Arabidopsis thaliana: one gene and its partners. The protein of the gene in region 2 interacts with the protein of the main gene of each other region in a pairwise test. Each region holds a gene or a part of one and is shown on either strand. Other genes may lie near its edges.

The links.
Region 1: the proteins of WNK3 (region 2) and PUP18 interact in a protein complementation assay, tested with the Arabidopsis thaliana proteins (one large-scale study listed by BioGRID).
Region 3: the proteins of WNK3 (region 2) and AT1G57980 interact in a protein complementation assay, tested with the Arabidopsis thaliana proteins (one large-scale study listed by BioGRID).
Region 4: the proteins of WNK3 (region 2) and CNGC1 interact in a protein complementation assay, tested with the Arabidopsis thaliana proteins (one large-scale study listed by BioGRID).

What each region holds. Positions count from the first base shown.
Region 1 is NC_003070.9:21,440,679-21,446,306, forward strand, and holds PUP18 (purine permease 18), read right to left. Parts: upstream 2,359-5,628; 5' UTR 2,195-2,358; coding exon 1,022-2,194; 3' UTR 501-1,021; downstream 1-500. Other genes in the region: AT1G57980 (Nucleotide-sugar transporter family protein), read right to left, coding at 15-54; AT1G58007 (multidrug resistance protein), read right to left, coding at 5,559-5,628.
Region 2 is NC_003074.8:17,870,925-17,877,233, reverse strand, and holds WNK3 (with no lysine (K) kinase 3), read left to right. Parts: upstream 1-1,703; 5' UTR 1,704-2,013; coding exon 2,014-2,082; intron 2,083-2,155; coding exon 2,156-2,193; exon of another isoform or gene 2,194-2,297; coding exon 2,298-2,525; intron 2,526-2,603; coding exon 2,604-2,827; intron 2,828-2,906; coding exon 2,907-3,064; intron 3,065-3,147; coding exon 3,148-3,313; intron 3,314-3,466; coding exon 3,467-3,595; intron 3,596-3,683; coding exon 3,684-4,222; 3' UTR 4,223-4,414; downstream 4,415-6,309. Other genes in the region: CYP71A26 (cytochrome P450, family 71, subfamily A, polypeptide 26), read right to left, coding at 1-663; BIR6 (Pentatricopeptide repeat (PPR) superfamily protein), read left to right, coding at 5,305-6,309. UniProt on the Arabidopsis thaliana protein: May regulate flowering time by modulating the photoperiod pathway.
Region 3 is NC_003070.9:21,437,311-21,442,608, reverse strand, and holds AT1G57980 (Nucleotide-sugar transporter family protein), read left to right. Parts: upstream 1-1,761; 5' UTR 1,762-1,876; coding exon 1,877-1,916; intron 1,917-2,020; coding exon 2,021-3,165; 3' UTR 3,166-3,403; downstream 3,404-5,298. Other genes in the region: PUP18 (purine permease 18), read left to right, coding at 1-909; PUP17 (purine permease 17), read left to right, coding at 3,720-3,759, 3,851-5,007.
Region 4 is NC_003076.8:21,536,530-21,543,394, reverse strand, and holds CNGC1 (cyclic nucleotide gated channel 1), read left to right. Parts: upstream 1-2,365; 5' UTR 2,366-2,673; intron 2,674-2,819; 5' UTR 2,820-2,904; coding exon 2,905-2,933; intron 2,934-3,010; coding exon 3,011-3,581; intron 3,582-3,665; coding exon 3,666-3,878; intron 3,879-3,969; coding exon 3,970-4,256; intron 4,257-4,351; coding exon 4,352-4,463; intron 4,464-4,537; coding exon 4,538-4,774; intron 4,775-4,863; coding exon 4,864-5,565; 3' UTR 5,566-5,674; downstream 5,675-6,865. Other genes in the region: SPDS3 (spermidine synthase 3), read right to left, coding at 5,742-5,810, 5,897-6,026, 6,110-6,302, 6,423-6,494, 6,579-6,651, 6,740-6,844. UniProt on the Arabidopsis thaliana protein: Acts as a cyclic nucleotide-gated ion channel. Can be activated by cyclic AMP which leads to an opening of the cation channel. May be responsible for cAMP-induced calcium entry in cells and thus should be involved in the calcium signal transduction.

The DNA of each region.
Region 1 (5,628 bases), on a different chromosome or scaffold from region 2:
GACAGTGAAGTTACCATGTGTTGTTGTATGTTTGGAAGCTTCGGTCATCTCCATGAGTTTTCTCTGGTGGATCTCTAAAGATTTAGATATGTAAATTTCATTCCCTGTAGATTTTCCAATTATTGAGAATGATTGAGGAGAGGCACATTAAACAATGACTAGCTAGTGGTGATTAAATTCTTTATAATAATTAGAAATATTACTAAAACTTATACAAAACCATGCGATCCTTTAGACAGATCAGATTTGGTATACTTTGAAAACGACTCATCAGTTGTGGTCCTTGAGGACATCACTAGGCTATAATTTTATTCCTAACAATCATGTATTAAACATAAGTTAACCTAATAAACTGTCAATCATGATAGAGACTAGACTACTCACTTATGGTCATGCTAAAACACATATTGAAAAACATTAATCAAATAAGCAAAAGTACATAAAGATCATTTAAAGCTCTTATATATATCTCCATAAACATAAGATCATCTCATAAAATAGTTTACATCTCTAACAGGTTCCTTCAAGAACCACAAAAGTTTCTCTTAGAACCAAATCAAGAACAAGTACACATAAGAGCTAAAAGATAAAAGGGTGAAAAATATCTCTCTTGAGTGGCAATGTGGCATGACATGTTGAAGATCCAAGGAGAGTTATAAATAAATCTCTAGAGGAAAGGAAGGAAACTAAGGGTTTTTGTTCTTACAACGTAAAAATTATAGCCTATATATAGGAAAAGACTTGTGAACCCAGGTTAACCAGCTGTGAGAAAGATTTTTTTGTATCTATTTATTAGTTATTACAATACTTTGTTGATGAAAGTAAGAGATAAATTGTAGTGACAAATCCTCATTAACAAAATATTGTAAGAGATAAATACAAAAAAAAAATCAAATCAAAATAATTAACAAATATGTTCCATAGTTTTCAGATCTATACAACATGTTTTAGACATTGACTTACAACATTCAGAAGAACAACAACATATTTTGAAACAGAAACAAACATTTGACATGAGAGACTAAACGTCAATATTGTTCTCTGTTTGGTAAAGCTCCACCATCTTCTTCTTGTTTCTCTTATGCAGAGTGTAGAAGTAAGATCCTAAAGCCACAACTGTTGCTATCAAAGTACCAATTCTAGGCCAACTAAACTCATCATCCATGAAATCAAATGCCAACACAACAAACAAAGCCACAAGTGGTGAAGTACACATATGAACAACATCGCCAAACACACCCGAAACATAAAGCACCAAACCCATCAGCCCGACCGCCCAAACCTGCCACGACAATGCCAACCCGATCAAACTCAAAACGTAATACGTTTCTCCTTTCTTAAACCTGTGGCTATCGCCTTGCAGTTCCTTATTCTCGCCACTCGCAAACAAACCCACGAGACAAACAACCGTTGCGACAAAAGAGACACAAATTTGCATCTCTATGACCATTCTAAACACTTTCTTGTTACCATATCTCTTTGTCTTTACCAACACTTTCTCGAAACAAAGTTGGAATAAACAGAGAGATAATGCGAAAGCAACTGAAGCAGCGAAAGTTAACCAAGCTTGGATGCTGTAGAATTCTTCGTTTTCATCAGGCTCTCCTCCAAATTCAGGACTACCGAAAACATAAATCAAAATGCTGCCGATTATCGATAAGATAATCCATCTGGTGAACTTAAAACGGTTAATAATGGCTGCGAAAATAGCGGTAAATATCAACTGAGTCGCGGAAATCAGCGTGAAGACGCCAAAGTTTGCGTATAATTTCCCAAGTGCAAACAATTTGCTGTGAGCAGCAACAAGAACACCAAGAGAGATGTAAAGTAAGATGAGACGAAAAGAGAGGAAACGAGTATTGGTGGTTTCTTGGTTTTGTTTTGGTGAAGGGAAAATGAAAAACAGAGGAATGAGTAGTGGAAACGCAGCGTTTTGGACCAGAGCTTGCAACCATGTTCCTCGGTATTGTAGATCTTGGTCACTATCTTCTCGATTGTCTTGAACATAGAAGAAGTTCAAGAGAAGCATGACTAGAGAATCTCCGAGCAAGACTAAGAAAATACATAAAGAAACAGAGATCCACCATTTCTTTTGTTTTAGCTCCAACGATCTTCTCGGACTCAAGATTTGGTCTGGTTCTGGATTTGCTGATCCTTCTGCTGTTGTCTGTTTGGAAGCTTCGGTCATCTCCATGATTTTTTTTCTTCTTCTTCTGGTCTCAACTTTTAAAGATTTGAAAATATGTAAATTTCATTCTCTGTGGATTTTTTTATATAGTGGTTTCTAGTTTTGATAAATGGTTGAGGAGGAGAAGTGCGCGTTAAACAAACAATGACTTGTTCCACCTTGGCGGCGATATACTTCTTTTAGATAATTAAAAAAGATCACTAAAACTTATACGTAATCATGTGATCCTTTGACAGATAAGATTTGGTACTTTGAAAATGACTCATATTCAGTTTTGGACATAAAACACAGTTTCTACTTTCAACCACGCTATTTCCGGAAAGCTATTATATACACTAAAGTTAATTTAAACGCAATATTCGGTTTGTTTATTTATTTTTTGTGTTGATTTGTAATAAATATCATAGTAAAGAATTGTGTATCGATTTGTCGATTTTAATGATGTAGCAAAAAAAATTACAAATCTTACACGGATGAGACTGATCACACCTGATCAGTGAAAAAATCTGATTTTAACTAGAAAGTTAATTTCGAAAACCAAATAAACAAACAAAAAAGTTGGATGTAAGTTGACTGCTAACAAATTTTCGGACAACAACAAAGACTTTCAAAGAAAGTTACCTATACGTCTCGTTCCTACTTTAGAGGAACAAGTTGTAATGGAGACAGTCAACTCAACGGTCAAGTCTTGCGAACTTCGCATTTTTATATTCGGGGAAAACAACGTCGAACACGCTTATACAATACATGGATATGATTCAGACAACTAAGAATAAGATGTCTTCCCAACAAATAAGAAAGCAAGCTGGATTTCAATAATTATCCATGTTCCATAATGAAGACTTGGTCTCTCAAAAAAAGAAAAAAAAAATAGTCTCTCAAACTTGTTTCGTTATTAGACTTTCGAGATATTCTTTTATTTCTTCTTATAATCGGTTAGACAATTAATCGATTAGAATTTATATTTGATGAATCAGTCTAACAATTTCAGAAGAAAGTACTTTTGTTAGAAATTTGTTATTAATTGTTTTTCGAAAATTTGTTGGAAACATGTTGTAAACTGTATATCACAATTTCTTTATTTGAAATTCTTGGTAATTATGTTGTAATTTGATGTTTTCTTTCAAAATAGATACTTTAAATCTCATTTTAGATGTGTTTTCAAAAGTCGTCAGAAATTCATCAAAAACCACAATTTTATCTATCTTCATATTTTGGACCCAATTTAAATATGGTTCTAAATCCTTCAGAAATTAGTCGGAAATCGCAAAGACACTCAGTGTTAATATACATTTAGTTTTATGCGGTGAATTTTTAGTATAGATTTAAAGATTTGTGACGAATTTTCGATGAATTTGAACATATTCATCATAATTATATATTTACACCTCAACCATTTTTCCGACAAATATATCCAAATTCATCAAAAAAAAAATAAAAAAAAATCGGTCGCTCTTTTAATTTCAAAATCATCTGAATTTAGTGTTGTTTTTGTTTCCTACAAATTAAAGATGCAATAGGTCGCTCGAACTTCTTTTTTATATATTGAACTACAGCTCCGAATATTAACAGGCCACACGCTGAATTTCTTTTTTTGGCCCGACTAATAGCTTAACTTTAGGGAGAAAATAAATAAATGGGGAAACTGTAACTTGAGATTTCCAATAAAATTGGCCGTTCAAATAGATATTTGATCGAGGGCCACAACTATGTGCTTGATCAGCTTGCGTCCAAGCACAGCTGTAGACATTTGTCTCATTCAAACCAATGTAAAACAAGAGGGAAAAAACCCCCAATATAAAACATTAAACTCTTTCATTCTCTCTAATATTACTCTCGTCATATCTGTATGTTCCAATTTTTGTTTCTTATTCCTTATTTATCTAATCTCTTACTTTTGTTTTCTTTAATATATTTGTTACTAATCAATATTTACTTTGGATGACAATTTGATATTGTCTTTTATGGATTTTAATATTAAGCCTTTTGATTTAAATTATATTTACTTTAAATTATTCTGGATGGTTTCTTATTTTTACTTTTTATGAAAACAATAATAAAAATATCGTTGAAATTTTGTCAAAAATTTTCTAATAAAATATGGCAATGAAAGATATATTAGGGCTGGCCTTGTCAGAATTTTTTAACTATCTTCTAGTTGGAAATTACCGATTATATCTCGAGCAATCTTTCTTGTGAAAAATAGTCAGAATATTGACAGTAAATTTTGAGTTGCTTCCGACAAACAAGTCATTGTAATAAATATAAAGTCGTCAGAATTTGACCAGAAATTTTGAAGAATTTCTGACCACTATTTACAATGTATATTAATTAAAATTTACAATTAAAGTATATATGCATAATCCTAATAATCTATTAAACAAATTTATAATTTATTTAAAACATAAAATATCAATTAAAAATCAAACGATTTACAACAAGGAAATATCCCAAATTTCAACGAGTACTTCCGAGAAAAAACATGGTCGGAAAAATGCAGATAAATTTCAGACAAATTTCCGATGTAAAAAATATTAGTTGAAAATTGGTCAGATTTTTTTGGTCAGACATTGACAGAAAATTTCTGACGAATTGTTGAGGAAAATTTCTAATGAGTTTCCGTCAAAAATTTTTGTTTGAATGCATATATTTTCTTGTAGCCTCTACATTTTTGTTTCCGGTATATTCTCTTTGAGAAGGCGAGTCCAAATCGAGATGAATGTTTTGCATCATGGAACTAGAGTAGGCCACATCTACATATCCGTCCAACTCTTGAATCTTTTGATTAGCTTGGTTAAGTTTCAATTGCGTCAAGATACTTCTGTTGCATTTGGAAGAACATTTTTCATAAGATTTTGTTTTTCATGGTCATGCTTTTTCTTGCGTGCGTGTATTGTCTATAAAAACATAGTATGAAATTTTGGACCACAATTCGATGAATTTTTATCTGTTAATTTCCACGGTTTACCGACAACATATATTTTATTAGAATTTTCCTATAAAGTTTCGACGACATCAAAAAATTTGTTGATGTTTGGAAAATTTTCTTAGCCATGTTTTCTTGTACACATAGGAGCTGTGTCTCTTGTATACATATATTGGTCGTAAGCCTCAATACCGAGCTAGCAAAAGTTAGCTCTAGTCGCCTTATACATGTGAACTTAGCAGAATATCTTCAATTGGAGAAACGATACAGTAGTGATGGTTGTAATGGCAACCCAAGGTTAGCTACCTCGGTTCTTACTAAAAATAAAGAATCATCATAAATATTTAACCTAAAACTTCGATCCAGCAAGCAATTGTTCAAAGTATCAGAACAATTGATAAGTAATTATGATACAACGACTAAGCTAAGAGAGACAATACTTTATTAGAGGTGGGAAGGCCAGCGAATGCCTTCTCTCCGGCAAGGAAATGGTGCCGGAAGAGCTACGTATGAC
Region 2 (6,309 bases):
AATCCACGCAAGCCAAGGTACATAACTCCCCACACTAAACGTCCCCAATAGTTTATTTAGTCTCTCCATTAACTCCTTAAAATCCGTTTCACCACCGTATTTCCGTCCCAAAGCAACTTTACATATCACATCGTTAGTTAAACTCACCAAGATCTTGCTTAGATTTACCGGCAAAGAAATCGATTTCCTGATCTTTTCCATCATCAGACTGATCTCTTCTTCTCTCACTTCTCGAAAGGATCGTACCATTTTGTTGCTGAATAGATGGAGGACGCACACACTTTTCATTTGCCTCCAGTACTCTCCATAAGGAGCTGAGGCCACATCATGCTTATCGTAAAGAAGTTTCTCGAAGATTTTTGACCGTGGCCGGCTTGCGAAAACACGGTCATGCGTCTTCAAAACGTCTCTAGCCAATTCAGCTGAAGATACTACAAGAACGGGGACACGGCCAAAGTGAAGAAGCATAAGAGGACCGTACCGGTGGCTGAGAGAGCATAGTGATCGGTGAGGGTGGCGGCCGAGTTGATGAAGGTTTCCGATCAACGGTAGTCCCGGTGGTGACGGAAGTGTGTTTCTTTTCTTCCCTCTCTTCTGTTTTCTGAAAATTATGATGGTAACTACAAAGATTATTGAGCATAACAGAAAGAACATGATCATCATGTCTGGATTCTTCAAGTACATCAAAACGTGTTCTTGTGAAGAGTTTTTATTTGTGGTTTTTTTGGACTTACATATACAAGCCAAGTTTCTTCACGGTAGTACTAGTACGTAATTACTGTCCACTCAATCTTTTGGACTTATGTATTTATGCATGCACCAGTCTTTTAATGTTTAGTTCTTCGAGATTTTTCCTTGTGAAAGTCATTTGGTGCGTTTACGATTTATGTCTTATTTTGGTCGTGTCACCGTTCTAGTCTTTCGGTGCTTCCACGATGTGTCTTACCACCATACAATACAAGTGCCTAGGATAATGGTCTCAGGCTGCCGTCAGCTCTAAGGATTTATATACTCTGGGCCCAATGGGCCTTACAAAAATTTGATGATCATTGTATATAATCGGTTTTTAAACGGCTGAACCGCCAATTCATACTCATCAAAAATACAACGACAACATTGTTCAACAAACAATTCTCCATGAAAATTTAAATGTCCTAATTCGTCTCAAACATTCTGTCTCCAATATGTAAAACATTTATATTTTGAGATATAAGTAGAAGTAATAGATTATAACAAATGATCATAACATTAGTGTAGTGATTTGTGTCAGTACAAGTTTCTATTTAAAGTGTAACAACATTGAATATTTATGTTTCACCAAAAACTATGACTATTATTCTATTAATCCTGAGAGAGAGAGCAAAACCCTTTAGTGAAAAGTTTCCTTAAGTTTAAAAGAACTGAAGCTGAAGTCCAAATTGTTGTTTACACACAGTAAAATCGAATTCGTTACCATGACAAGCGGGTTCAATGGCTAAACATTTTGTAATTTACCAAACCCATTATTCGATTTGTAGGATAGTCAATTATAGGGTTCTTAGTCAGCTAAAACAGTGACTTAAGAGTTAAGAAGGGGAAAAAAAAAGTCCGAATATTTTATATTCACAACACCATGAAGTTGACTGAATAAGCAAAATAATTGATTAGAGTAACATGACAATAAATGAGAAGAAAATCAAATAAAAAACCAGATCCATGGCGCGAAAAAAGCAACGACCCACACCTTTGCCACGTGGTCTTGTCCAGTGGATCTGAGTGTCCTAAATTCGAAGATGAGAAAGAGAGAGAGTGTACAACATTCTACAGTCGACACCATTATGATCAGCAGCTGGAAAAGCTTAAGCTTGGTTTTAATGGCACAAAATCTAAATAATCGATTTATACACAAAAAGACAGCTAAGTAATGATTATTATTATTATCAGAAACTGCTTCAAAACTTGTTCTTCCTTGACTAAATTTCTCTCTTCTCTCAAGAACTCCTATCATCTGTTTTGAATTGCAAGTAACCAAGAATGCGACAAGACGAGAATAACTCCGAGGAAGAATTCGTTGAGATTGATCCCACTGGTCGCTATGGCCGGGTCTGTTCTTCTTTACTTGATTTTAGTGTTACCTTTTTCTCAATTCTAATGTTTTTGTTTCTCATGTTTTCAGTATAAAGAAGTTCTAGGCAAAGGAGCTTTCAAAGAAGTGTATCCTTTTTCTTAGATCTCTGTTATTACTACAGAGACAAATCAGATTAGATTCGGACAAGACACAGTCACTAAAGGGTTTCTTTGATCAGAGAGTTCTTCAGATACAGAGCATTTGACCAACTTGAAGGAATCGAAGTGGCTTGGAACCAAGTTAAGTTAGATGATAAATTCTGTAGCTCAGAGGATTTAGATCGTCTTTACTCTGAAGTTCACTTACTCAAAACCCTTAAACACAAAAGCATCATCAAATTCTACACTTCTTGGATCGATCACCAACACATGACTATCAATCTCATCACCGAAGTCTTCACTTCCGGAAATCTTAGACAGTCAGATTCCTCTCTCAGAAGTCAAATCAAATCTTTTTTATTTGATCAATATTATTCATGTTTGACAAACCCTTATAGGTACCGGAAGAAACATAAGTGTGTTGATCTAAGAGCATTGAAGAAATGGTCAAGGCAGATCTTAGAAGGGCTTGTTTATCTACATAGCCATGATCCTCCTGTGATCCATAGAGATCTTAAATGTGATAACATTTTCATTAATGGGAACCAAGGTGAGGTCAAAATTGGAGATCTAGGGCTAGCCGCGATTCTGCACCGCGCTCGCTCTGCTCATAGCGTCATCGGTGAGATCTTTAATCTTGTTCTCAAACGAAAAAGTTTCTCCATTGTGAAACTATAATTTTGTGTTTGAAATTGTTTAAGGAACTCCTGAATTTATGGCGCCGGAACTCTATGAAGAGGACTATAATGTACTTGTCGATATCTACGCGTTTGGAATGTGTTTGCTTGAGCTGGTAACTTTTGAATACCCGTATTCCGAATGCACAAATGCTGCTCAGATTTATAGGAAAGTTACATCGGTAAGTGATCATATTCCCATCTCATATCCAATCAAGAATGACTTTTTCCATATTGTCGATCCATTTTTCTCAATGCTTCTTAGGGAATCAAACCAGCCGCTCTTTTAAATGTGACTGATCCGCAAGTGAGAGCATTCATAGAGAAGTGTATCGCAAAGGTCTCGCAACGCTTGTCAGCCAAGGAACTACTTGATGATCCTTTTCTGAAATGCTACAAGGAAAATACCGAAAACGTCAGCTCTCACAAAGGTAATATCAGATTATGGTATTTCATTTCATCTCAATATGAAGTGTCATGGACTCCTTTCTTAAAAGTTAAAATCAATAATAGTAACATAAGATAGTTTCTATATTTTTTCTATGTGAAATTTTCTAACACCAAGTTCAATAACATTGTCACAGAAAATGGTTACAACGGAAACGGAATCGTGGATAAACTCTCGGATTCTGAGGTAGGCTTATTAACCGTAGAAGGCCAACGTAAAGACCTCAACACAATCTTCCTAAAACTACGTATCACCGATTCCAAAGGTTCAAAATCTTTTTTGCTTTTTTTATTACAAATCTTCAGATCATTACTAAATCTTCTTTTGACACAATAATAACATTTTTTATACAGGTCAAATCCGCAATATCCACTTCCCATTTAACATAGAGACAGACACATCTTTCTCAGTCGCCATCGAAATGGTCGAAGAACTAGACTTAACCGATGATCAAGACATCTCAACGATAGCTAAAATGATCGACACAGAGATACATTCACACATCCCCGATTGGACCCCTTCTCGACTTATCGGTGATGATTCAGCGGTACAAAAATGTTTGTCTTCTCCAGAGACGCTCCATTTAGATAGATTTCCTTCAGGGAGAAAATTCTGGTCCTCTCCTAAAGCTGGAGCTGGAGACTCACGTTCACCGTTTGCGCCACGGTCTAATTCTAAGTTGTCGTCAGCACAAGGACCGATCAATCAAGAAGTTGGGGTTATAGTAGAGAAACTTGAGTCTTTGTTGAGGAAACAGAGAGAGGAGATTGAAGAGATGCAGAGAGATCAAGAACGTATTGTTACTGAGTTCTTAAAAGAGTTTCCTCCTGAGATTTGTGAAGAGGCTTTGGTGAGATTGCAAGTTAAAGATTCTGATAACTTATTGTGTTAGTACGTTTTTTACATTACACACTCTCGTCAAGATTAATTTGGTTTGCAATATTATGTTGTACTAAAGGTAAGTAAATGTGTAACAAAATTGTGACAGTTATGATTGAAGGAAAACTATTTGTCAAATAATATTTCTTGAATTAGTTAGGTGAAGACGTAACTAGCTCAGAAGAGTCTGGGAGAAGAAAAGAACGCGGTGATGATAGGTCACATCACTGTGTTCTTATTCACTTGATTCTTCTGAGCTAGCCTCGTCCTCTTCACCCAACTCTTATGAACCTTACTCGTCTTCACTGGACTCACTTGCAGAGACTCTAATAAGGTTGTCTTATGATCTATGCTCGCCTCTCATAATCTTAGAAGAAGATATAGAGCGGTTCATATTTTGTTCTCTCTCGCCTATTAGGTTTAATGGGTACTGGTGTTTCTTAAATAGCGTATGCCTCAAGATAATATATTAGGGTTTCATAGATAATAAACCTAATCACCAAAACATTTGGCATAAATGGGCTAAAAGCCCAAAATTTCATAAAACTACCTTAAAACATCTTTATAGGAAAGAAAGCGTTTCAGGGAGTAAGCAAATATAAGCATATGGCAGCGTCAAGGACTCAAGGGATCCAATCAAAACTACAAAGAGCAAATAAATAATCAAAACAAAAACTGAAATAAACTAAATTCTCATACTTGTTCAGGAATTGGTTTCTGATCCGTCGAAGCATGCACTCCCTTGCTCTGCCATGAAGAAAACATTTTTCCGATCAATTCTAGGGCACCGAGAAAAGCCCTCAATTTTCATAAGAACTAAAATCGAAAAGTAATTTAAGTTAAATTGTTCTTGTTGGTAAGCGATTCCGGGACTGGACCCAAATATCTGGCATAAATGGGCTTAAAAGCCCAAGCCAGAATAAACCAACTTGAAAATATCATATCACAGCATTAAAACGCAGCGTTTCAGGAGTTAAACCCCTAAATTTTCAGGAAAATTGCATTTTTGCTTAAACCCTATTATTGTCACTTTCTCTTCCTCTCCCTCTTCCTTATTCGAAAACACACAAAATCACAGTAGTAGCATCTGTAGCCATGTACAGATCAATGGCAATCCTGTCTTCTCTTCGACACGCGTACTCACAGATCTCTACTCGATCGTATCTAAGCCGATCTAAGGTGGGTTTTTCCTCAAACTTGTCTTCGCCTCTCGATTCATTTGCAATCGTCCCTAGTCGATTTCTTTGGAAATTTCGAACCTTTTCTTCGAAACCAGATTCTATGCTTCAATTAGTGCTTGAGAATGATTGGTCTAAGGAAGTAGAGGAAGGATTGAGGAAACCTGATATGTCTTTGACACACGAGACTGCAATTTACGTTCTGAGGAAATTGGAGAAGTATCCTGAAAAAGCTTATTACTTTCTCGATTGGGTTTTGAGAGATTCAGGGCTTAGTCCAAGTACTCCACTCTATAGCATTATGTTGAGGATTTTAGTGCAGCAGAGATCAATGAAACGGTTTTGGATGACTCTGAGGGAGATGAAACAAGGAGGGTTTTATTTAGACGAGGATACTTATAAGACTATTTATGGTGAGCTTAGTAAGGAGAAATCGAAAGCTGATGCTGTGGCTGTGGCTCATTTTTATGAGAGAATGCTTAAGGAGAACGCAATGTCTGTTGTTGCTGGAGAGGTTTCTGCTGTTGTTACTAAGGGGGATTGGAGTTGTGAGGTTGAGAGGGAATTGCAGGAGATGAAGCTCGTTTTGTCGGATAATTTTGTGATTAGGGTGTTGAAAGAACTAAGGGAACATCCTTTGAAAGCTTTGGCGTTTTTCCATTGGGTTGGTGGTGGTGGTAGTTCTTCTGGTTATCAACACAGTACTGTTACTTATAACGCAGCTTTGAGGGTTTTGGCTAGGCCTAACTCGGTTGCAGAGTTTTGGAGTGTTGTTGATGAAATGAAGACTGCAGGGTATGATATGGATCTTGACACTTATATAAAGGTTTCAAGGCAGTTTCAGAAATCTAGAATGATGGCTGAGACAGTTAAGCTTTATGAATATATGATGGATGGTCCGTTCAAACCATCTATTCAAGAT
Region 3 (5,298 bases), on a different chromosome or scaffold from region 2:
GCTGCGTTTCCACTACTCATTCCTCTGTTTTTCATTTTCCCTTCACCAAAACAAAACCAAGAAACCACCAATACTCGTTTCCTCTCTTTTCGTCTCATCTTACTTTACATCTCTCTTGGTGTTCTTGTTGCTGCTCACAGCAAATTGTTTGCACTTGGGAAATTATACGCAAACTTTGGCGTCTTCACGCTGATTTCCGCGACTCAGTTGATATTTACCGCTATTTTCGCAGCCATTATTAACCGTTTTAAGTTCACCAGATGGATTATCTTATCGATAATCGGCAGCATTTTGATTTATGTTTTCGGTAGTCCTGAATTTGGAGGAGAGCCTGATGAAAACGAAGAATTCTACAGCATCCAAGCTTGGTTAACTTTCGCTGCTTCAGTTGCTTTCGCATTATCTCTCTGTTTATTCCAACTTTGTTTCGAGAAAGTGTTGGTAAAGACAAAGAGATATGGTAACAAGAAAGTGTTTAGAATGGTCATAGAGATGCAAATTTGTGTCTCTTTTGTCGCAACGGTTGTTTGTCTCGTGGGTTTGTTTGCGAGTGGCGAGAATAAGGAACTGCAAGGCGATAGCCACAGGTTTAAGAAAGGAGAAACGTATTACGTTTTGAGTTTGATCGGGTTGGCATTGTCGTGGCAGGTTTGGGCGGTCGGGCTGATGGGTTTGGTGCTTTATGTTTCGGGTGTGTTTGGCGATGTTGTTCATATGTGTACTTCACCACTTGTGGCTTTGTTTGTTGTGTTGGCATTTGATTTCATGGATGATGAGTTTAGTTGGCCTAGAATTGGTACTTTGATAGCAACAGTTGTGGCTTTAGGATCTTACTTCTACACTCTGCATAAGAGAAACAAGAAGAAGATGGTGGAGCTTTACCAAACAGAGAACAATATTGACGTTTAGTCTCTCATGTCAAATGTTTGTTTCTGTTTCAAAATATGTTGTTGTTCTTCTGAATGTTGTAAGTCAATGTCTAAAACATGTTGTATAGATCTGAAAACTATGGAACATATTTGTTAATTATTTTGATTTGATTTTTTTTTTGTATTTATCTCTTACAATATTTTGTTAATGAGGATTTGTCACTACAATTTATCTCTTACTTTCATCAACAAAGTATTGTAATAACTAATAAATAGATACAAAAAAATCTTTCTCACAGCTGGTTAACCTGGGTTCACAAGTCTTTTCCTATATATAGGCTATAATTTTTACGTTGTAAGAACAAAAACCCTTAGTTTCCTTCCTTTCCTCTAGAGATTTATTTATAACTCTCCTTGGATCTTCAACATGTCATGCCACATTGCCACTCAAGAGAGATATTTTTCACCCTTTTATCTTTTAGCTCTTATGTGTACTTGTTCTTGATTTGGTTCTAAGAGAAACTTTTGTGGTTCTTGAAGGAACCTGTTAGAGATGTAAACTATTTTATGAGATGATCTTATGTTTATGGAGATATATATAAGAGCTTTAAATGATCTTTATGTACTTTTGCTTATTTGATTAATGTTTTTCAATATGTGTTTTAGCATGACCATAAGTGAGTAGTCTAGTCTCTATCATGATTGACAGTTTATTAGGTTAACTTATGTTTAATACATGATTGTTAGGAATAAAATTATAGCCTAGTGATGTCCTCAAGGACCACAACTGATGAGTCGTTTTCAAAGTATACCAAATCTGATCTGTCTAAAGGATCGCATGGTTTTGTATAAGTTTTAGTAATATTTCTAATTATTATAAAGAATTTAATCACCACTAGCTAGTCATTGTTTAATGTGCCTCTCCTCAATCATTCTCAATAATTGGAAAATCTACAGGGAATGAAATTTACATATCTAAATCTTTAGAGATCCACCAGAGAAAACTCATGGAGATGACCGAAGCTTCCAAACATACAACAACACATGGTAACTTCACTGTCTTAACTTCTGTAAAAATTGTTTCTATTCTTATTGTCTTCTTAAAAATAAAAAATAAAAACTGAGAATTCCAAATTTTCTTTAACCAACAGAAGAATCAGAACATGTTCAGAATCCTGAACCAGACCAAGTCTTGAGCCAAAGACAACTGTTGCAGCTAAATCAAAAGAAATGGTGGATCTCTGTTCTAATATGTCTTTTCTTAGTCCTGCTTGGAGATTCTCTTGTCATACTTCTCTTGAACTTCTTCTATGTTCAAGACCGTCGAGAAGATAATAACCAAGATCTACAATACAAAGGAACATGGATGCAAGCTCTGATCCAAAACGCTGCTTTTCCAATCCTCATCCCTCTCTTCTTCATTTTCCCTTCACCAAAACCAAACCCTGAAACCATCAATACTCGCTTCCTCTCCATTCGTCTCATCTTGCTTTACTTCTCCCTTGGTGTTCTTGTTGCTGCTCACAGCAAATTGTATGCACTTGGGAAGTTATACTCAAGCTATGGCTTCTTCATGCTGATTTCAGGGTCCCAGTTGATCTTTACCTTGATTTTCACAGCTATCATTAACCGTTTCAAGTTTACTAGATGGATCATCATATCGATAGTTCTCATTCTTGTGAGCTATGCTTTTGGTGGTCCTGTATTTTCAGGAGAGCCTGATGAAAATGAACATTTCTACGGCATCCAAGCTTGGTTAACTTTCGCTGCTTCAGTTGCTTTCGCATTATCTCTCTGTTTAGTCCAACTTAGTTTCGAGAAACTGTTGGTGAAGACAAAGAGATATGGTAACAAGAAAGTGTTTAGAATGGTCTTAGAGATGCAAATATGTGTCTCTTCTGTCGCCTCGGTTGTTTGTCTAGTTGGTTTGTTTGCGAGTGGTGAGTATAAGGAGCTGAAAGGCGATAGCGAGAGGTTTAAGAAAGGAGAAACGTATTACGTTCTGAGTTTGGTCGGGTTGGCTTTGTCGTGGCAGGTTTGGGCGGTCGGGCTGATAGGTTTGGTGCTTTATGTTTCGAGTGTTTTTAGTAATATTGTTCATATGTGTGCTTCACCACTTATGGCTTTTATTGTTGTGTTGGCATTTGATTTTATCGATGATGATTTTAGTTGGCCTAGAATTGGTGCTTTGATAGGATCAGTATTGGCTTTAGGATCTTACTTCTACACTCTGCACAAAAGAAACAAGAAGAAGATGGTGGAATTTAACCAAAGTGAGAACAATGTAGAAGTTTAGTCTCTCATGTCAACTGTATATTTGTGTTTCTCAATCTGTTCTTGTTTCTTTTTCTGATTCTTGTAAGTCAATGTCCAAAATATGTTGTATAGATATGGATCAACTGTGTAATTTATTTGTTGATTGTTTTAGTTTGATTTTTTTTTCTCTGTTTTGCATTTATTTGTAATTTTAAATGTTTTAAGTCTGAAACTATAAAATTTATAACCTCCAAAATATTAATTTTATTTTGATCAAATTGTTTAACTTATATTTTGTTAACAATTAAAACAAAAGTTTCTATAAATTAATAAAATATCATGTTCCAACATTATTAATTTATAGAGGTTTTAATGTACGTTTAAATTAAGTAATTAACCTTGTGTAGCGGTGTATAATATATACAGTAATACCTTTCCGGGTTTTGACTAGTACCAACTCTGATCTGTCAAAAAGATTTCGTACGGTATAGTGGAAAGATCTTTTCTAATTGCAAGATAGAACTAGTCATTCCACAGAGAATGAAATCTGCATATTTAAGGGTGTTCAGACTTCAGAGGTACCAGAGAAAACTAATGGAGATGTCCAAAGCTTCCAAACAGACAACAAGACATGGTAATTATTTCAAATTCTTATCATAAGTTTTATAATATTGTTTCTGTACTCGAAAACAAAATAAAAACTAAATATTTTCTTTAACAACCAGAAGAATCAGAACACGTTCAGAATCCAGAACCAGACCAAATCTTGAGTCCAAGAAGATCGTTGGAGCTAAAACAAAGAAAATGGTGGATCTCTGTTTCTTTATGTCTTTTCTTAGTCTTACTCGGAGATTCTCTCGTCATGCTTCTCTTGAACTTCTTCTATGTCCAAATGAAGCAAGACCGTCGAGAAGAGTATGACCAAGATCTACAATATAAAGGAACATGGACGCAAGCTCTGATCCAAAACGCTGCGTTTCCTATTCTCATCCCTCTCTTTTTCATTTTCCCTAAACCAAAACAACACCTTGAAACCAACAATACTAGTTTCCTCTCCTTGCGTCTCTTCTTCCTTTACTTATCTCTTGGTGTTCTTGTTGCTGCTCACAGCAAATTGTTCGCACTCGGGAAATTAGTCTCAAACTATGGCATCTTCTCATTGATTTCCACAACACAGTTGATATTTACCGCTGTTTTAACAGCCATCATTAACCGTTTCAAGTTTACTAGATGGATCATCATATCGATATTACTCACTATTGTGATTTACGTTCTCGGTACTCCTGACTTTGGAGGACAGCCTCATGACGGCGAAGAATTCGGATACAACATCCAAGCTTGGTTAGCTTTCTCTGCTACAATTGCTTTCTCATTATCTCTTTGCTTAATCCAACTCGGGTTCGAGAAACTCCAAGTGAAGACCAAGAGATATGGTAACGAGAAAGTGTTTAGAATGGTCTTAGAGATGCAAATATGTGTCGCTTTTGTCGCCTCGGTTGTTTGTCTCGTGGGCTTGTTTGCGAGTGACGAGTATAAGGAACTGAAAGGCGATAGCAAGAGGTTTAAGAAAGGGGAAACGTATTACGTTCTGAGTTTGGTCGGGTTGGCTTTGTCGTGGCAGGTTTGGGCGGTCGGGATGATAGGTTTGGTGCATTATGTTTCGGGTCTTTTTGGTGATGTTGTTCATATGTGTGCTTCACCATTTGTGGCTTTGTTTGTTGTCTTGGCATTTGATTTTATGGATGATGTGTTTAGTTGGCCTAGAATTGGTGCTTTGATAGGAACAGTTTTGGCGTTAGGATCTTACTTCTACACTCTGCACAAGAGAAACAAGAAGAAGATGGCGGAACTTAACCAAAGTGAGAACAATGTTGAAGTTTAGTTTCTCATGTCAAGTGTTTGTCAATCTGTTCTTGTTATTCTGATTCTTGTAAGTCAATGTCCAAAATATGTTGTATAGATATGGATCAAACTATGTAATTTATTTATTAGTTGGTTTAGTTTGATTTTTTTCTTTTCTCTGTTTTGCATTTATTTGTTACAATACTTTGCTAGAGGAGTGAATCCCTATATATTTCTCAAGTAGACTTGATTGTTAACATCTATGGGGCATCGAGACACCAATAAAGCCACATCCCACTTGATGATATAAGCTGCACCAAGCTCTTATGCC
Region 4 (6,865 bases), on a different chromosome or scaffold from region 2:
TATGCAAAGTCAATGTGGATGAAATATGCACTGTGCCTGTGTGACTAATGGGTACTCTAGTGCCATTTGGAAGTGAGACTGTAATACCAGTAACAGGAAAAGTCTCACTAAACATTGCCAAATCAGAACAAACATGACTACTAGCTCCACTGTCAACTATCCAAGCATCATGAGGCAAAATGGAATATAATGATGAAAGACAATGATGTTGAAATGTGAAAGAATGATTTTCATATCGTAAACTTGTTGAGGGAAATTCAATAGAAACATTACCAGCTGTAGAAGTAGTTGCCATAGCTCCATGATCAGTGATGGTAGCTGATGGAAAGGGAGTTGACTGCTCCGGAACATGAAGATGAGTATTGAGTTGTTGTATTAAAGAATGGACTTGATCCGTCGTAAAAAGACTGAGATCAAGACTTGATGCAGTCATTGCAGGAGGTGGAATATAAGGAGTAGATCCCATGACTGCATTAGCAACAGCATTATGTCATTTTTCATTCAAATCCGAAGAAGAGAAAGATACTCTTACAAATGTCTTTTTCTTGTGATAATTTTACGGGTGGGAAGATGGTTGACTTTGACTCATATCGTCCATATTCAAAGGTCTTGATAGTTTGAATTCGATGTTAATAGTATTTTATTCGTATAAACAATTAAATAAGAGTTGACAATGTTTAGACAAATTTGGATTATGAAGTAGTAACAATGATAAAATCTTGAGACTGGTCTCCAAATCCGACAGCTAGGAACCTCCCTTGGCATTCATAAGACAACGTACAATCAGGGACACGATACGGTCAACGGTCTCTATTAGCACTTAATTATCAGTATCAATTAAACTATCAATTGAGTAATATAATAGACGTTCAAATTTAATTTTAAACTTAACGGTCTAAATTTGTGGAGAACAAAATTTGGTAAAAATGAGAAGATAAAGAGGAAGAGGACACGTGGGTTGGTTCGTGGTTGATCGACAAGTACTCACGGGCTATATCTTTAACTTATCATCCTTTTATTCTTAACAAAAGAAATTTGGTGGAGATAAATTTAATCATGGTCATGGTTTTAGTAGCTACAAATGCAAATGTGATTTTCTTTTTTCGTCTGCGTTTGCAAGTTTGAAATTTTTGGTGCTGATGAAAAAAAGAAGAGATGATGTTTCACCATTTTTTTTTTTGTTTTTTGATCAAAGGATGTTTCACCAACATAAGAAAAGAAAACATGTCATGAAGGAGTTAGGACTAACAGTTTGAAAATACTTAAGAACTCAAATGTTAAAAAGGCTCATATTTTTTTCCCAAATTATGTCATCTCCTTCTATAATCTAAATCATTCGTGATTTAACATAAAACTAAATATTAAGTAACTTTATTCAAATCTATGAAATCGATTTACCATATACACGATTTTAAAAAGGATACAAGCGGAAATGAAACTGTGCATTGAAATATACGAACAAAAAGCCTGAGTTTACGAAATTTGACATTATCTCATCAACACGAAACTTCGACGTATTACAAAGACAAAAATCAAACCTACAAAAATAGAGAACAATAGTCAGTTACAGAATTTAAGTTTGCCACGAAAATGATACATCATTATGAAGTTTTTGTATGCCTAAACATTGATATCAGTTAATGTCTTCGACTGTAATAAAGAAATGCCTTGATTAACTCCGTAACTACGTCTTCTTTTGTCAGCAAATTCTAATTTATTACATGCTTAAGTTGATTTGATCCCATAACCAAACAACATATATATGGAATGTATATAAAAAAAATCTAAGCAATCTAAAAAAATTAATTATAATATATGCTATAAAAAAAATTATAGGAAACTTTGCTAAATGGCATAAACAGTTATTTTAATTAAGTATATGGAATTGTCAAAAAATTATCATTATTTTTTTAAAAATACATGATTGACTCTTTTTTTTTGTGTGCAAACAAATACATGATTGACAAAAAAAAAATACATGATTGATAAAGATATTTCTTTCAACATCTATGGATGAGAGGATCAGGAAATGTAGCATTATTTTACTTTTGAAAACTACATATATTATTGTTGTGAGCCTGTGAATTCTGTAATCTTCCAACATATTCGTCTACTAAAAAACTGACAACTCAATTCAGAACATATTTTTCTACTAAAAGGTGAAGTTAAAAACTCAATTTAAAAAAGATTTCGTACTTAATAGTCAAAGTTAAATTTGGTCCGAAATCTTTTTGAAGTATCAAAGACTGCAAAGGTATAACTGTCTTTTTGGAATAACTTTAAAAAAATTAACAAAAACAGTGAAACAAAATTTAAGAAAATCGAAGAAAAAAATGATAAAATAGCAAAAGTTTGTGACTTTCGTGGAAACTCCTTCCCCGTCCTCTCTGTCCTCTGATAAAGGCTTCACTTTCATCATTCAATCTCTTCTTCTTCTTTCTTCTTCATCACTCTCTCTCTTTCTCCAATTTCTTCATTTTATCAGCTTCCTCTCTTCTTTAGTTTCTGGGTCACTTTAGTTTCGCTCTTTCCGAGGAAAAACAAAACAAAGATTTGATTTTTCTTTTTGGTGGGTTTAAACAGTGATTTCTTCTTTTGCCCTTTTATTGGTTCTTATTGTTCTCCTCAAAAGTCTACAGGATTGTCGGAAGCAAACACACTTGTCCATGTTCGGTTTGATTTTTTACCTCAAACAAGTTTCTTCCTTTTTTTTTGCTGTTTAGTCGAATTGCGTTTTTGACACTGGAAAGTTTTGAAATTTGAGTTTGATTTTTACTGAAATCGAAATTGTTGAATTGAATTGAAGTTTGTTGAATCAGGGTTATGAATTTCCCTCTAATTGGTGAAGAAGACACATGAAGCAGTGAAATCTCTGTTTGTATTGAATCTTATTAGTCTCAAACTATGAATTTCCGACAAGAGAAGTTTGTAAGGTCAGTGTTCCAGATTTGTCTCATTGAATTCTAAGTCGTGAAGCTTAATTCGATTCTTCTTCACTTTCTCGGATCAGGTTTCAAGATTGGAAGTCGGATAAGACTTCCTCCGACGTGGAATATTCCGGTAAAAACGAGATTCAAACTGGAATATTCCAGAGAACAATAAGCTCAATCTCCGACAAGTTTTACAGAAGCTTTGAATCAAGCTCTGCAAGGATCAAACTATTCAAAAGATCTTACAAGTCTTACTCTTTTAAAGAAGCTGTTTCAAAAGGGATTGGTTCTACTCACAAAATTCTTGACCCACAAGGACCTTTTCTTCAGAGATGGAACAAGATCTTTGTTTTAGCTTGTATCATCGCTGTCTCGCTTGACCCTTTGTTCTTCTACGTGCCTATCATCGATGATGCTAAGAAATGTCTTGGTATTGACAAGAAAATGGAAATAACAGCAAGCGTTTTGCGCTCTTTCACTGATGTTTTTTATGTCCTTCACATCATTTTCCAGTTCCGTACTGGCTTTATCGCTCCTTCGTCTCGTGTTTTTGGGAGAGGTGTTCTTGTTGAGGACAAGCGAGAGATCGCTAAACGTTACTTGTCCTCACATTTCATAATTGACATTCTTGCTGTTCTTCCGCTTCCGCAGGTGATTCATTGATTGGTTTTGTTTGCATTTCCAAATCATTAGCTTGATTCTTTGAGTAATGTGAGTAATTGTGTTTTTCCTCAGATGGTGATTTTGATAATCATTCCACATATGAGAGGTTCATCGTCTTTGAACACGAAGAATATGTTGAAGTTTATTGTTTTCTTCCAATATATACCGAGGTTTATAAGAATATATCCGCTCTACAAGGAAGTTACAAGAACTTCAGGCATACTCACTGAGACAGCTTGGGCTGGAGCTGCTTTCAATCTCTTCCTCTACATGCTTGCTAGTCATGTGAGTGCCAAATTGGTTCTAACTGTCCCAACCTTTTTAGTTTCAGAGTTTAGATATATAATATTTTTGGTCAATACCTGTAAATGTGTAGGTGTTTGGTGCTTTCTGGTATTTGTTCTCAATCGAACGCGAAACGGTGTGCTGGAAACAAGCTTGTGAGAGGAATAACCCTCCGTGCATTTCGAAGTTGTTGTACTGTGACCCTGAAACTGCAGGAGGCAATGCTTTCCTCAATGAGTCTTGTCCGATTCAGACACCAAACACAACACTCTTCGACTTTGGGATATTCCTTGACGCACTTCAATCCGGTGTAGTGGAATCTCAAGATTTCCCTCAAAAGTTTTTTTACTGTTTCTGGTGGGGTCTGCAGAACCTCAGGTATTGAGAATTTATCAGCAAAATTTTCTCCGTTTCTTATGAAGAAAAGTTTCAACACTAAGTTCTTGCATCTTTGTTCTGTTTTCGTGATCCAGTTCGCTCGGTCAGAACCTTAAAACAAGTACATATATTTGGGAAATCTGTTTCGCGGTGTTCATTTCTATTGCGGGGCTGGTTTTGTTCTCCTTCTTGATTGGAAATATGCAGGTTAGTCTCATTTCATCTAATATGCCATAGTGTTTGCGAAATCGATTACTTACTGCTTTTCTTTTAAATGGCAGACGTATCTGCAATCCACTACCACGAGATTGGAGGAGATGAGGGTAAAGAGAAGAGACGCAGAACAATGGATGTCACACCGTTTGCTACCTGAGAACTTGAGAAAAAGAATCCGGCGATACGAGCAGTACAAATGGCAAGAGACAAGAGGTGTTGACGAAGAGAATCTTCTTAGTAATCTTCCCAAAGATCTTAGACGCGACATCAAACGTCATCTCTGTCTCGCCCTTCTCATGCGGGTAAAGAAGAAATCATCTCCTCTCTTTACTCGATTTCTCATTTATTGTCAACATCACTCGTAACCGCATCTTGTTTTTGTTGGTTCTAGGTCCCCATGTTTGAGAAAATGGACGAACAGCTTCTTGATGCGCTCTGTGACCGTTTGCAACCTGTGTTATACACAGAGGAAAGCTACATAGTAAGAGAAGGAGATCCGGTAGACGAAATGCTCTTCATAATGCGCGGGAAGCTTCTAACAATCACAACAAACGGTGGAAGAACCGGTTTTTTAAATTCCGAGTATCTTGGAGCCGGTGATTTCTGTGGTGAGGAGCTTTTAACCTGGGCTTTAGACCCACACTCATCCTCAAACCTCCCAATCTCAACAAGAACTGTTCGAGCTCTCATGGAAGTTGAAGCTTTCGCACTTAAAGCTGATGACCTCAAATTCGTGGCTTCCCAGTTCAGACGTCTTCACAGCAAACAGCTAAGACATACTTTCAGGTACTACTCACAACAATGGAAGACTTGGGCCGCTTGCTTCATACAAGCCGCTTGGAGAAGATACATTAAGAAGAAACTCGAAGAGTCTCTTAAAGAAGAAGAGAATCGGTTGCAGGATGCTTTGGCTAAAGAAGCTTGTGGAAGTTCCCCAAGCCTCGGTGCTACAATATACGCATCACGGTTTGCTGCAAATATCTTGCGCACAATACGTAGGAGCGGATCAGTAAGGAAACCAAGGATGCCGGAACGAATGCCACCTATGCTACTTCAGAAACCAGCAGAGCCAGATTTCAACAGTGATGATTAATTAATTAGCATATATGTATATGAAAGATTTTATTGCGAACCATAGAGCCAATATATAAATATAAGTCTTTTTATAAAGGAGTAAACTTAGAGATACAAAGCCTTCAATGATTTATTATTCCTCTTCAAGAGTTCTACAAAGTTTGATATGAGGGATATGGTAGAGCCAAACAGAAGTCAAGAAGCCAGAAGTGAAGCTACTTCTCTCCGCAGGAATGTGGGCAAAGCAAATGCGGCTCTGTGCATCTGTTTTAGTAAAAAGATAGATCAGGATTTTGCTTTAAGTTAATCTAAAACAGTAAATGAGGAAGTCATAGTTGTGTTAAACTTACATCAGAGTTATAGAACTTCAATTCTCTTTTATGGGTCATCGCACCGTCTAGTTTCTCAATAGGGTTGATTGGGTTCTTGAAGTCAACAGCTGGTCCTTCAGTAGAGCACAAGACGAAACCAATCACGCCGCTGCAATGAAGATATGTTGCTCAATTCATGTTTCTGATTTCAGTGAGATCACACAATGTAATCAGAAGAAAAGTAGAGTTAACCTTGGATATGTGGGGACGCTGCTCCACGCATAGTGAACACTTTTGAATGTTTGACGGCAAATGGAGATCATATCTTCAATAAGATGAGTATGGAGCCACATACTTTCTGCCATGTTACAAAGAACTCCCCCAGGCTTCAACGCTCTAGCCAGTGTCTCGAAGAAAGGCTTCTCAACAAGCGCAAGAGCAGGACCTATGATTATATAGAGTGAAAACGTGAGAGTTTGTAGCTGAAGTCTGAACCGAGTTTTGATTTAGAAAAACAAAATAAGAATCACTCAGATATCCAAAGAGTTTTGCAGATGAATCATACCTACGGGATCTGAAGAATCAACAATGATGGCATCATACTTCCCTTCAGGGGATTTACGGAGGAACTCAGCAGCTGCCAGAGGAAAGTGATATCAACACAAGCAAATTTTTGACTACGTTTTGTGAACAGAGAACAAGTAGAAGAATGCTTAATTACCATCACCAATGTGAAGTTGAACACGAGGATCGTCAAACCCAACCGCTAACTCGGGGAAGAACTTCTTAGACACCTACAAGACCACAGAAATCCCACTTTCTGAGATAGAACATAACTAAAAATTGTTCATACATATGGCAAGCACAAAACCAAAAACTTACATCTATAACCATCTTGTCTATCTCACAGATATCAATAACCTCAACAGAACTATGGCGAGAAATCTCTCGAAGAACACCACCATCACCTCCACCAACAACAAGAACCTGCAAATATTTAGACAGCGA